Linked DNA regions of Rattus norvegicus. The protein of the gene in region 1 purifies or fractionates together with the protein of each later gene. This does not show direct contact. Links are inferred from orthologs where the notes say so. Each region holds a gene or a part of one and is shown in the gene's direction. Other genes may lie near its edges.

Evidence for each region.
Region 2: the proteins of Npc1 (region 1) and Pon2 purify together in Homo sapiens (affinity purification with mass spectrometry; 3 studies listed by BioGRID and IntAct, with this or other methods). This does not show direct contact. The link is inferred for Rattus norvegicus from reciprocal best matches to the Homo sapiens genes NPC1 and PON2.
Region 3: the proteins of Npc1 (region 1) and Sigmar1 purify together in Homo sapiens (affinity purification with mass spectrometry; 3 studies listed by BioGRID and IntAct, with this or other methods). This does not show direct contact. The link is inferred for Rattus norvegicus from reciprocal best matches to the Homo sapiens genes NPC1 and SIGMAR1.

The regions. Positions count from the first base shown.
Region 1 is NC_086036.1:3,661,081-3,666,299, reverse strand, and holds part of Npc1 (NPC intracellular cholesterol transporter 1 precursor), read left to right. Parts: intron 1-109; coding exon 110-299; intron 300-643; coding exon 644-826; intron 827-1,439; coding exon 1,440-1,554; intron 1,555-2,686; coding exon 2,687-2,814; intron 2,815-2,897; coding exon 2,898-3,038; intron 3,039-3,730; coding exon 3,731-3,820; intron 3,821-4,177; coding exon 4,178-4,368; intron 4,369-4,813; coding exon 4,814-4,929; intron 4,930-5,219. UniProt on the Homo sapiens protein: Intracellular cholesterol transporter which acts in concert with NPC2 and plays an important role in the egress of cholesterol from the endosomal/lysosomal compartment.
Region 2 is NC_086022.1:34,388,885-34,392,920, reverse strand, and holds the start of Pon2 (serum paraoxonase/arylesterase 2), read left to right. Parts: upstream 1-1,236; 5' UTR 1,237-1,288; coding exon 1,289-1,362; intron 1,363-4,036. UniProt on the Homo sapiens protein: Capable of hydrolyzing lactones and a number of aromatic carboxylic acid esters. Has antioxidant activity. Is not associated with high density lipoprotein.
Region 3 is NC_086023.1:61,700,000-61,704,064, reverse strand, and holds Sigmar1 (sigma non-opioid intracellular receptor 1), read left to right. Parts: upstream 1-1,265; 5' UTR 1,266-1,299; coding exon 1,300-1,450; intron 1,451-1,586; coding exon 1,587-1,787; intron 1,788-1,920; coding exon 1,921-2,013; intron 2,014-2,968; coding exon 2,969-3,195; 3' UTR 3,196-4,044; downstream 4,045-4,065. UniProt on the Homo sapiens protein: Functions in lipid transport from the endoplasmic reticulum and is involved in a wide array of cellular functions probably through regulation of the biogenesis of lipid microdomains at the plasma membrane.

The DNA.
Region 1 (5,219 bases):
GGCTCCTGGGCTGAGGTCAGGCAGGATGGCCTCTGTGTTCTAAGTGTTGAGACGCTCCTCTAGCCTGTTGTTTTTAATTAAAATATGCAAATTTGCCTACTCTTTATAGATTTATTAACTTTGTGAAGAACTACAAGAATCCAAATCTGACCATTTCTTTCACTGCTGAGCGAAGCATTGAAGATGAACTCAATCGGGAAAGCAACAGTGACGTATTCACCGTCCTCATCAGCTATGCCGTGATGTTTCTGTACATTTCCCTCGCCCTGGGGCACATCCAGAGCTGGAACAGGGTCCTGGTGAGTGTGAGGTGCACATGGGGGGTGTTAGACATGACAGTACAAGCTGTGACATGTTATCTCCTCTCCTTGGTCAGACGTTCCTCAGCAAGTTACCTCACATGTGCTCTTTCCATGAACATCAGGCTAACTATCCATAACTTCTGTTTCTGTGTCTACTTTCTTCACTCCTAAGGCTTACTTCACATAAGTCACATATGTTTTGTCCATAGCCTTACCTGCAAGTGCATGAACTTTGTTCCTAGGGAGAAACCTGCACGTTTTTTCTGTGTTCTTTCACACCGTGAGTTGTAACAGGGAGGACAGAAAGCTCTCTGATGACCTGTGCTTTCGTCCAACATCAGGTGGATTCTAAAATCTCGCTGGGCATTGCGGGGATCCTGATAGTGCTGAGCTCGGTGACCTGCTCCCTGGGCATCTTCAGCTACATCGGAATGCCACTGACCCTCATCGTCATTGAGGTCATCCCGTTCCTGGTGCTGGCTGTTGGGGTGGACAACATCTTCATTCTAGTGCAGACCTACCAGGTAACTCTCCCTCTTCTCGGAGCTCAGTATCTGCCTAAGCACTCAGGCTTGTAAGTGGCTGCTCACACAGATAGCTCCACAGCCTTCTCTCCCACGGCTCTGTGGTCTCTTTGATTTGTTCTGCACACTTGGAACCAAGAATCTCAGCCCTCTCTTACTTGGTGAAGTGGATACAGAAGTGAGAAGTTGGTATTAGAAACCATTGTCACATATGTGCAGTAGGAACTTAACACGCTTAGGGGAATTATTTCAGGTATTAATGCTACTAAAATGGCTTCTAGCGCACAGCAGACACATAACAGATTTGTCATGCTCTGAGACACTGCTCAAGGCACAGTCTACCATTGTAGGATTTGGTCTCAGTTGCCTGAAGTCCTTGTCTGAGTGGAGACTCAGTGACATACAAGTGTCCTGTATTGGTCCGTCTTCCTGAAACCCGTGTATACCAGGCAGTTGTCTGATAACATGACTCCATTTTGCTGAGCTTCTCATCTGGTGCCCATCAGTGATCCAGCTCAACTAGCAGGATTAACTGCTGCTGCAGCTAACGAAGACCGGAACCAGACGGCTCTGTTACTGAGAAATTTCAATAGTGCATTTTTTTTTCTTTAAGAGAGATGAGCGTCTTCAGGAGGAGACGTTGGATCAGCAGCTGGGCAGGATCCTGGGGGAAGTGGCCCCAACCATGTTCCTTTCGTCCTTCTCTGAGACCTCGGCATTTTTCTTTGGTAAATTTACTATAGATTGTACCAGGCCTGTGGTGTATGACTGTGCTGTGTGGGATATGATATGCTGGGTATATTATTATGCCCCATGTCTCTCCCTTTTGAGGGCTTGCTTCACACTTGGAGTGTTGCTTGTCTTGGCTAACTGGCTGTGTCTCTGGAGTCAGCTTTGGAGTCCTCTTTGTCCCAACACAGTACTCATGCTGGGATAGAGGACAACAGAGACTCAGGCTTCTCTGCCATCTCCCCTTCTTGTGCCTATTGTAAGTGTTGATAAATGGCGCCCCTGCATGGCCACAGAATCCTTGGCTCTCCCCTCGGCAGTGTGGCAGGTTGACTTACTTACAGGATGCCCTGCCTTTGTTTTCACACAGGCTTCCTTCTCTGAGCACACACCCCCAGGGGAAACAGGTTCATTAGTGATTGTCTTGTAGTGCTTCAGTACAAGGAGCCTTAATGAGCAAGAACAAAAGCCTCGGGATTCTTTTGTGCAGAGCCATCACTGAATCTTGGCGTTGGCTGCCCAGTCTATCTCCAAAGTGCAGAAAGAGAAAAGTGGCTTGATCCTTGTAGAGACTGAACAAGGCCAGACATCTGTGCGGAGAAGATAGTCTCCATTGTCTGAGGTCACAGCTGCAGTGCCCATGTGACTGCCGGTTCTTCCCTGGGCCGTGTGGGCTGGGTTTAGGTGGCGAGCTTCAGTGGAGGCCTCCTGGCCCCGTATCACTTCCTGTCCTGTAGTGCTGTCATGGAACCTGTGGTCTTTATTGTGCCTGAGACAGTCACAGGTGCAGGGGAGATGATACCCTTTTACTCTTCTAAGAAAACCAGCACAAGTGTGCAGTGTGCCAGGGTCAGGGCGACTCTACCAGACTGCAGTTGCATCGAAAGAGGCAGATGTCCTGGTTTGTTTCTGGATCATGTGGCTGGCCCAACATCAAAAAGGTTTTCCTCCAAAATAATATGGTGAATCTGGATTTCTGTTTAAATACTTATTAAGAATATTTTTGATCCTAAAATGGATTGGTATAATGTGGGTCAAGAGGAAATGGCATATGTGCATGGGAACATACCTGACACCTCAGGGTAGCGTGACACCTCAGGGTGGCATGACAGTGTTTTCCTCTCCCTGTAGGGGCGCTGTCCTCGATGCCAGCTGTCCACACCTTCTCTCTGTTTGCGGGGATGGCCGTCCTCATTGACTTCCTCCTTCAGATTACCTGCTTTGTGAGCTTCTTGGGGTTAGATATTAAGAGACAAGAGGTAAGGACAAGGGTCTGTTTGAATCTGGAGTCTGGGCGAAGCTGGAGAGTTTTCCATGCTTCTCTCTATCTCTGTGCTCTCAGAAAAACCGTCTGGACATCCTGTGCTGTGTCAGAGGCCCTGACGACGGACAAGAATCCCAAGCCTCCGAAAGCTACCTGTTCCGCTTCTTCAAAAACGCCTTTGCCCCATTTCTGCTGACGGACTGGCTGCGGCCAGTTGTGGTACGGACTCTTCTGAGGTTTCTGTCTTCCCTCTCTCTACATAGATGTGTCACATGCCTTCTGAGAGGCCTGGGAGGGCAATCCCAGCCACTGTTAATATAGTACAGAAAACACAGGCAAATGTATACAATAGCAGGGTCCTTTGCTTGTGCAGTTTTTAAAACACTTTTTTAGTTTTATTTACTTTTATGTGCACTGGTGTTTTGCCTACACGAATGTGTGCAGTCAGTCCTCTCAGCTGCTCAGCCATCTCTCCTGCACCTCTAGTGCATTAATCAGTCACCATTGTCAAGAATTTTGGTAACATTGGGTTGGGGTTTTTTGTGTTGTTTTTGTGCCCAAACCCTAAGTTTTTGTTTTGAAAGAGTTGTAGTTTTACAGAATGTTGCAAAGAAATTGGAACCTTGTTTCTCTCGCCTGTTATCTTCTAGTGTATGTTGTCTCACATACCCAGTTGTAATATATACGCAGAATTATAGTGCAGTATTAGAGTCAGGCTTGTGTGCATGTGTTTGGACTGGGGATGTAGTTCAGTGGTAGAGTCTTTGCCTAGCCTTACGCAAGGCATGGGGTTCACTCTCCAATACCACCCCAAAATAAATCAATAGTCGTGTCTTTGGTGTGCAGGATCTTATTTCTTCTTCAGCTTATGATTACATCAGCAGTCGTCTCTCGGTTTGCTTTTTTTCCAGATGGCCGTGTTTGTGGGCATTCTGTCATTCAGTATTGCAGTAGTGAACAAAGTAGAAATCGGATTGGATCAGTCTCTCTCGATGCCAAATGTAAGCCACTTTCTTTTAACTTCTTTAGCCGCTATTGAGTACAGTTTTCAGAGCATGTGTTATAGGTGTTAATGCTTGCTTCTGAATGCAAATCATGCAAGGGGCAACAGTGATCTGCTGCAGGGCTCTGCTGGAGCAGGCTGCTGGCCTATGAGCTCGTAACTTTTCCTGACATAGCCTTAGAGGTGGAGCAGCCAGTCTCCTGAGATCACTGAGATCCCTTCTGTCTGCAGCTTAACAACAGACGCACTCTGGGACCCAGAGGAAGAGAACCATGCGTCGTCCTGCTTGGCGACACAGGCTCTATTCCCAGCAGTCTCCCATGGAGCTGTATTCTCTCTTTGGTCTTCCTTTCAGGATTCGTATGTGATTGACTATTTCAAGTCACTCGGTCAGTACCTGCACTCGGGCCCACCCGTGTACTTCGTCCTGGAAGAGGGCTACAACTACAGTTCCCGCAGAGGGCAGAACATGGTGTGCGGTGGCATGGGCTGTGACAATGACTCCCTGGTGCAGCAGATATTTAACGCAGCAGAGCTGGACACCTAGTCAGTGTCGGGAACGTCTGGTCCTTTGTACTTCTCTGTCTCTTGAGTTAATGTTTAGTCTGAGAGATGCTCTCCCGTATGGTCTCCAAGTTGGCCCTGTCCCAGCCTCCCAAGCGTTAGGGTTCCAGCTATCACCTGCCTGGGTTTGGTCCTTTTCAGTCTTGAACAGAAGGAGGCAGAAGGAAGAACTCGTGGGCAGGGTCAACTCAGGCCTGAAATTTCTCTGCAAAAGCAGCTTTTGGGAAGGTTTTTTTGTTGTCATTTCAAAAAATCTGTTAGAGCAAGTTTCGTGTGAGCAAAGTAGGCTCATTGGCCATCAGAGTGGGCTCATGGGCCATTGATTATCTTGAAGGGTTGGTCAGTCACGTGGCAATGTCAAATGGGGGGAAGGAGCTGGAGTTCGCAGGAGTCCCGACTGGCCCATCACTGTCTCTCCTTTCTCCAGCACCCGCGTAGGCTTCGCTCCCTCATCCTGGATTGATGATTACTTTGACTGGGTCTCACCGCAATCCTCCTGCTGTAGACTCTACAATGTCACTCACCAGTTCTGCAATGCTTCTGGTACTTTCATCTCCTTTTCTAGACTTTTTTTTTTTTTTAATTTTGGAAAAATGGTAGCATCGCTTAGCCATTTCACTTTCCCTTCATTTGTGTGTTTGTCAGTGTTGGGGCTGTCTCCTTCCCTCTGTCCCTGTCCTGTGCTCAGTCACACAGGTGACTCAGAGCTGCATCAAGGACACATGAGACTTCTCATGTGTGCAGAGCACACCGACTGCTCTCTCAGGCGTGCCAGCTAGTGTGTTCAAAGGCTGCCTCCTGCTGCTCTGTAGGTGCTGAGAACGTCCGTGAAC
Region 2 (4,036 bases), on another chromosome or scaffold:
GGCCTGATGTGTCAACATATGCTGGTAATCCTCAGGAGGGGAAGTCAAGAAAGCCTCAAATCCAAGGTCATCTCCGGCTGCAATAACAAAACACTGTCAAAGAATGATGTTCCTTAAGAACTGACTGCTTAACTTCTGCAAACACATTGCAGGTAGGAATTGTGCTGGGAACAATTAGGAAATGATTCCAAGTTATACTCAGTAGCTGTCACAATCTCAATGAGCGACCTCGCTCTTTATATTTTTATAAGTGTATATAAATAAGTGTTAAAATGAAAAGGGAGAAAGGAGAGAAAATTTATTAGTACTCCAATAAATTCTGAGTTTGTGGCGGTCTAGTCTAATATAAATCTTAAAATAAAAGGATGTAACTCCAATTCTAACTTTTTACATAAGGCCTGTCCAGAGCCATTTTTTCCTAACTAAAAGAAGAAAAAAGGAAGTGAATATTTAAAATTAGAGAGATGGCTTAGCACCAAGAACACTGGCTGTACTTACTGGGGTAGTGCGCACCCTTTTCTGACCTCTGTGGATACCAGACATGGATGTGTGCATACACATGCATGCAAGCAAAACATCCATGCATATGAAATAAAGAACTAAACCAAAACACATTACTCTAGGCAGGGCCCTGAGTTGCCCAAGAACTTGGCATATGAATTAGACAGATCAGATGTTCACTACCATCCTGGACCAATAAGAAAATTTAAAAGTACTATTTTAATAGATTTCATATATTTAGTATACATTCCTATGTTTAATAATTAATATTTAAATATATTTTACATTTAAACATAGACATATTACACACACACACAAGTATGTTCAACAACGAAACTGTTCTGTGTAGATGTGGCTCGTTATTTGCGTAATATGAACAAAGTCCTGGGTTTGTTTCCTAGCTTCTCAAAAATCAAAAATAAACACAACAAAGGGGGAAAACATCCTCAAACTCCAGACCAAAACAACAAAAAAGCAACCCCAAACTTAACTAAATCAAGAGAGCTCCGCAGAGGCCACCCTAAAGTTTTCAGGGAGCAGAGCAGGTGCAGCTGCGCGGGCTTTGGAGGGTTGGCCGAGTGTTTGTGAAAGGAGTCAAGTTCAGTTGGGTTCCCACGCGGGCATGTGCGGATGTGCTCTGAGGCCGCGGCGCCGGGCGGAGCCTGGGCTGCAGAGCCGGCGCTCGGGGCGGGGATCAGGCGCGGTTCCGCGCTCGGGGCGGGGAGCTGGCCCAGCGTCCGGTGCAGCCCGGTCAGGCCCAAACCAGACGGCGGGCCGGTCCCGCGCCATGGGCCGGCTGGTGGCTCTGAGTTTGCTAGGCATCGGGCTGGCGCTTCTGGGCGAGCGGTTCTTGGCGCTCAGGTAGGTTCTGCCGAGGGTCCCGGGTCGCAGGTCCCTACGGCCGAGCTGCTTGTGTTGGGCACTGGAGACAGAGCTCATTTAGTTTGGGGAACGAGATGGAGGGAAGTACTTGGGATCGCTACCCGTTTAACTGGCCCAGTCCACTTCCACCAAGACCTAGATACTTTGTGAAAAGTTTCCTAGCCTTTGCTGGTAGCGAGGTTCCTCTGCCTAGGCTGACAAGTGAGGTTTGCAAATTTCTCAGGGGGCAAAACTCAGTGCTTTAATTTGAAAACAAAACCATTACTCATGCGTGGACGCTCTAATTGCACAGTTTTATTTCAGGTCACTGGTGCTGTTCTGTGCAACTGGAATCCATCCCTCTCCAGCATAATAGTTGGGGAAACTTCAGGGTTTCAGTCTTGGCGCTGGAGATCAAAGACACTTGACAGAGACAGCTACTGTTCTTACATCATTTCCTTATTTATTGACCAGAGCTCCAGGAGTAGAGCAAGCAGTTGTTCCTTCCGGGTCGACATCATGTTTTCAAGTTACCATTTCAAACTTTATAAGCTTCTTGCAAAAGATTTCTAGAACAGTTGAGTGCCTACTAGGCAGTAGGTACACCTCAGCCCCAGGCTCCTGTGGAGAACTGGAAACCCTAAATAGAGTCTTTTCTGATATGGGAAAGGAGAGAAATATTGAAACTAGCTATCGAAGACAGGAAAATGAAACTCCTTATAGGGTTAAGGAGAAAAGACAGGTCCTCTGAAGGTGTTCTGGAAGGCAACAGATGAGAAAGGCGGGTAAGTCTGAAGGGTGTACTTAGCACTGCAAAGTTGCGCCTCTCTCTGATAGGCAAAAGGGAAGCGTTAGTACTCATTGGTCGTTTAGCAGCAAGCTGACCTGAGTCTTGCATTGTACAAACAAGCCTGAAGGGCGGAGCATCGTAGGCTGGATAATAGGATCTCTTGGAGTCCTGGTGTCCCAGGGGCACCATGTGAAACATTCTAATTCAGTTGCTCCTGGTGCGACCTAGGCCTTGGGTTTTGGGTGCTTCTCTAAATTTTAAATTAATTCTTGGTTTTGAGTTGAAATCTCATTTTGTGCCCTCTCCGTTTTGAAGCTTAGTCTGCTCTCGAAACTCAGGATCCTTGGTCTCCCGACTCCTGCTATTACAGACACACACCATCATGGCACACGGGGTTTTCTTTCTTTCTTTCTTTCTTTCTTTCTTTCTTTCTTTCTTTCTTTCTTTCTTTTCCTCCCTCCCTCCTTCCTTCTTTCCTTCCTTCTTTTCACATCTAGATCTTTGCTAATGATGTGCAGGTGTAGCATGTAGCTCAGGGATACAGCACTTGCCCAGCATGCATGAAACTAGGGACACCAGCCTCAGCCCCACACTACAAAACCAAAACAGGAAGCACACCCCTTGCACCCCTTGTCTTGGTAATCCTCGTGTACAGTATGTGTTGTAAGCATTGAGAGCTAGTGGACTAGACATGGGCAAAAGCAGGTTGGGAATGATAAAGGAGTCCCAGACTGCATCCCCAAGAATGAGAGACAGAGCCAAAGTGAGAGAGCCCAGCTGGCAAGGTGAGTCCACCGTCTGTCCCATAGCTGCAGCCTCATTTGGGGGTAAGGCCATGTGAGAACTGGATGGGATGGGAACCCCGGAACTAGGAGGAATGTTTATGCGTATGGTAGGGACTGGCAGTGTGGCTCAGGCTAATCCTTGGGTAACCACTCTTAGTAAATGCTTCTGCTCCTGTAGAATACCCATGCACTGGGATGCATTTGGATGGGTTTGGGTCATGTTTTGCTTTTAGTCGATATACAATAAACATACACACTTATGGACTGTGATGTTAATGTTTATGTATTATGAGATCTATGGTGATAGGTACAACAGTCACCGTAAATGCTTGCTTTTCTTTCAAGATGAGAATATTAAAAAACTTTCTTCCTAGTTTGAAGCACACACTACTATTAGCTACAGTCACTGCACTGCCTGTCTTCTAATCGTAGCGTTGTGCCCTTTGGCCAGTCTCACTGCCACCACTGACTGGCTCAGAGTAATCCTTGGGTGACCACTCTTAGTAATTTTCAACTTCTACTAGTAGTTTTCACACATATCGGTGAATTTTCCCATTTTCTCTTTCTTGCTTCCTTCCTTTTCTTCCTTCCCTTGCCTCCTTCCCTCCCTCCCTCCCTTCCTCCCTCCCTTCCTCATTCTTTCCTTCCTGGCTCTTTAAGACAGGGTCTCTCTTTGTGTAGCCCAGGCTGGCATCAGTGTCATGCAAATCTTGTCTCAGTCTCCCGAGTACTAACATTACATACATGCAACACCATGCCTCTACAATCGTTTTCTCTCACTGTATCCACTGTATAAGTCCACCATGTTGTTCTTTTCCATTTCTCTGTTGATGGGAGGGTGATTAGGCAGTTCCCATTTGGAAACTACCAGGATGCAAGTGTCTCTTCAACACCGACTTCTCTCCCTTTGGATGCATAACCAGTCCTGGGATTGCTGGTCATATACAATACTTATACTTTAACAAGTTTTAAGGCATCTCCATGCCCGTTTCATAACATCATAGTGTTTTACACCCACAGAAAGTAAAGGATCTCTTTCTGAACAGGGTGTGTGACTCAGTGGTACAGTGCCAGAGTGTGTGGGGGCCTGTGTTCAAGC
Region 3 (4,065 bases), on another chromosome or scaffold:
TGACTGTATTGGTCTTTTGTTCCATCATTTCTGGGCTCAAGGCTAGTTTTTTCCTAGTTCCTTTATGGGTTTGGCTGCTTTTCTTGTCGTTGCTTTAAACATGGTCTCCAGTGACCCATGCTGACTGCAGCTAAGGTGACCTTGAACTACTACCGATCCTTGTGCCTTCACTTCCACCGTCGAGAGTTACACGCATGTACCACCACTCAGTCTTACGTTGTCTTTTCCTAACTAACATACAGAATCCTGACCATGTGCCAGGCACTACTTACTTTAAAATCCTAATTCATTTTATGTTAATCATAGTGAGCTATATGGACTATGGTATGGACTATAAAGCAGATACTTTTTAAAATTTTATTCTATGTTACAGATAAAGCTATCCATACATACTCTTACATGCTGACACATATGGGCTCTCTTCCTTAAATCTTAGTCCAATTTTACTCCCCTCCTCTATGTAGCCAAGAGCCATTCTGGGGCAAAATCTAATCCCATAGCTCCCCAGTGGATAAATCTATTGATTTTCAAAGTCTTTCATTTTTGTGTTTCAGAATATAGAATGAACCGTAGGATCAGAGAAAGCACTATGTTAAGCAAGCATGGTGGTCCATGCCTTTGATCCCAGTATTGGAGAAGCAGAAGTATCTCAGTGAATTTATGGCCATCCTAGTCTATAGGTCAGCTACATAGTGAGACATCTAAAATATTATATATATGTGTGTGTATATATATATGTACACACACATATATATACATGTGTATGTATGCATGTATGCATGTATGTATGTATGTATGCATGCATGTATGCTATCTCTCCCGCCTCTGCTCTGTGAATCTCGGAATGGTTCCCATCTGCTCTCCTCTCTCATGGACACTTCAGATATCACCGCTTCTGAAAGGCCTTCCCTAAGGTTCCCAGTGGCACTATCTTCAACGCGCTTCTGTGCTAGCAATCACGAGACCTAGAAAGCTCTACTTCCGGGCTCGCCAGCCCGGGTGGGCCAGGCCATTGAGTCTCCCTACTTAAGGACATCAGGACTGAACACTTCAGGGTGGCTGCCAAGAGGCGAAGCCCCGCCTCTCACCCCCTCCTATGGACCGCGCCACCAAACCTTATGCCCGCCCCTCTAGAAAAATGGTTCAATCCAGAGGGCGGTGCTAGGTGACCCAGACGTTCCGATTGGCCCGGGCGAGCCGTACCACGGTGACGGGGGGCGACCATAGGCAGCGGCTGTGAATCCACAGCCTGTGGCCCTAGTTCGGTCTTACGTTGGTGGTACCAGGCTGCCCGCTGGGATGCCGTGGGCTGTGGGCCGGCGGTGGGCATGGATCACCCTGTTTCTGACTATTGTGGCGGTGCTGATCCAGGCGGTCTGGCTGTGGCTGGGTACTCAGAGCTTCGTCTTCCAGAGAGAAGAGATAGCTCAGCTTGCTCGACAGTACGCAGGTGAGCCGGTGAGGGCGGGGAGCGGAGTGGGCCGACACCGAGTAGAACCGAGCGGAGCTGCGCTTTCTGAGGGCGCCTTCCTTGCCAGACTCGGACAGCGGGCTGGTCTTACCTACGCCTCTCCTTTTTGCATCAGGGCTGGACCATGAGCTGGCCTTCTCTCGGCTGATCGTGGAGCTGCGGAGGCTGCACCCAGGCCACGTGCTGCCGGATGAGGAGCTGCAGTGGGTGTTTGTGAACGCGGGCGGCTGGATGGGCGCCATGTGTCTTTTGCACGCCTCGCTGTCTGAGTACGTGCTGCTCTTCGGCACCGCCCTGGGCTCCCATGGCCATTCGGGTCAGTGTTGGCGGTGGGCCGGATTGGGAGGCTGGGACTGTTCGAGGGCTGGTGCCCTCCATTCCGAGGTTTGGCTGGGCCGTGTGATGACAAGGATTCCCTGATGGTCCGTGTCTATTTTCCTGTCAATCAGGACGATACTGGGCTGAGATTTCAGATACCATCATCTCTGGCACTTTCCACCAGTGGAGAGAGGGCACCACAAAAAGTGAGGTCTATTACCCAGGTGAGTGTGGAAGTTCTGTCCAAGGGGGCGCCCTCTAGCTAGAGAAGGACATAAGACCTGGCTATGGCATGTTTAGAAGGCCTACCAGTGATTTCCTTCCTTCTCTCCCTGGTAAGCCACAGGTTGTTTCGTTAGGGAAACGGAACAGGGCATTTTCCGGTCATAGAGAGCTGCTTTCTATCAGCCTGTTTAACCCAGCCATTATTCCAGCAATTGTTTGGGAGACCGTCATATCCAAAAGTTAAGATAGACATTTGTTTACCATCGTGTTTTAAACTAGTGAGGGGTTTTGTATTTTTGTTGTCGTTTCCGGTTTTTTATTTGTTTTTTATTCGTCTGGGTGTTTTGCCTACACACTTACACACGCCCACCACTTCGGTGCCTGGTGCCTTAAAGGTCAGAAGGAGGCATCTGATACCTAAGACTGTTGGGAACCATCATGTGGGTGCTGGGAAATGAACCTAGGTCCTCTGGAGTAGGAGACAGGGCTCTTAAGAACTGAGCCATCTAGCTAGCAAGCTCCTGATGTTGTTTTTAATGGACCTCTGGATCCATCTAAAAGAAAAACAGTTTGGACTTGCTGGTGTAAGATTAAGCATCAAGTTTTGTGATTTAACAGGCGTGTTTCTCAAAAAGCCTAGGAAGCCTTGTAACCACATCAAATTTCCACTTGAGGCTTGGAAATGCAGATGCCATGAATTCTATACATTAGCCTGTAGCTGGATTGGGTAGCCTTTCATGGGCCAGGTAATGCCATAAAATATTTAGGCATTTGGTCTTTCTTTCCCCTTTGATCAAACAACTAGGTTAGTGGGGTAGAGCTTTTCTGTTCTTGAAACTGTCTTCTCATTCCCCACCTCTACCTAGATAGCCCATAGGCTAGGCAAAGGCACTATGGAAGGCCAGGGCAGAGCTGGGCTCCTCCTGATCCTTCTTACCCTGTCTGTCCCCCCAGGAGAGACGGTTGTCCATGGACCTGGAGAGGCAACAGCTGTGGAGTGGGGACCAAACACGTGGATGGTGGAGTATGGCCGGGGTGTTATTCCGTCTACCCTGGCATTTGCACTTAGTGACACTATTTTCAGCACCCAGGACTTCCTCACCCTCTTCTATACCCTTCGCGCCTATGCCCGGGGCCTCCGGCTTGAGCTCACCACCTACCTCTTTGGCCAAGACCCCTGACCAGACAGGCTGAAGGAAGACCTGCGAGTGGACAGGAGCGGGCAGGACCACATCCATTTCTCTACTCGCTGGGACTCATGTTCACTGACAGCAGCATATACCATGCAGATAATTAAGTTCCTGCTGTGTGAGGAAGGACATACATACACATACATCCAGACACAGCTCTTGGGGAGCAATGAGACGCAGAGATGCTAAGACTTGTATGTACTGTAAGATCATGCACTCACCTCCATCCAGAGAGGGTCCCCGACGTATACTCCAGGGGGGCGCCCAGTCATGTTTGAACACATACCACGAGCTTGACTCACCTGACTCAGGCTTTTCCAGAGCCTCCTGCTGGCATTCGGGGCTCTGAGATAGAGGATTGGGGTAGATGACACAGTCTGCCTCGCTCTGATGCCGCATTCCAGTAGTGATCTCTGGTGAAGGAAAAGAGGAGCTGCCCTTCGGAGGTCCCGTTCGCCTGCAGCTGTGATGCCCTTCCCTCCATCCCTTTCCTCACCATATGCCTTATCTCCATTCCAGTCCCCTGCTATGCAAGTGTCCCTGTGGCTTGTCCTCCATGCCCCCAGCGACCAGCTGGGAAAGCAGAGGAATGTAGAGGAAGCTGAAGGGAAGGGAGGTTCTCCACCATGGAGACCCTCAGGGTTACAATGGGAAAGCTGGCTGATGCCTGGGGCCAGTTCCCAAAGAGAGGACCTGGGGAAGTGAGCCTGGCTCCGAGAAGCCACCCCATTCCAAAAGAAGCCTTTAGTGTATGTGTGCACACCTTGTCGGTCTCCAGACATTTCTGTTGCATTCTCTGTCTTCCTGTCTCTCTCTGTTAATAAAAACAGATCAAACAGTTCCATTTCCTTGTGTGTCTAA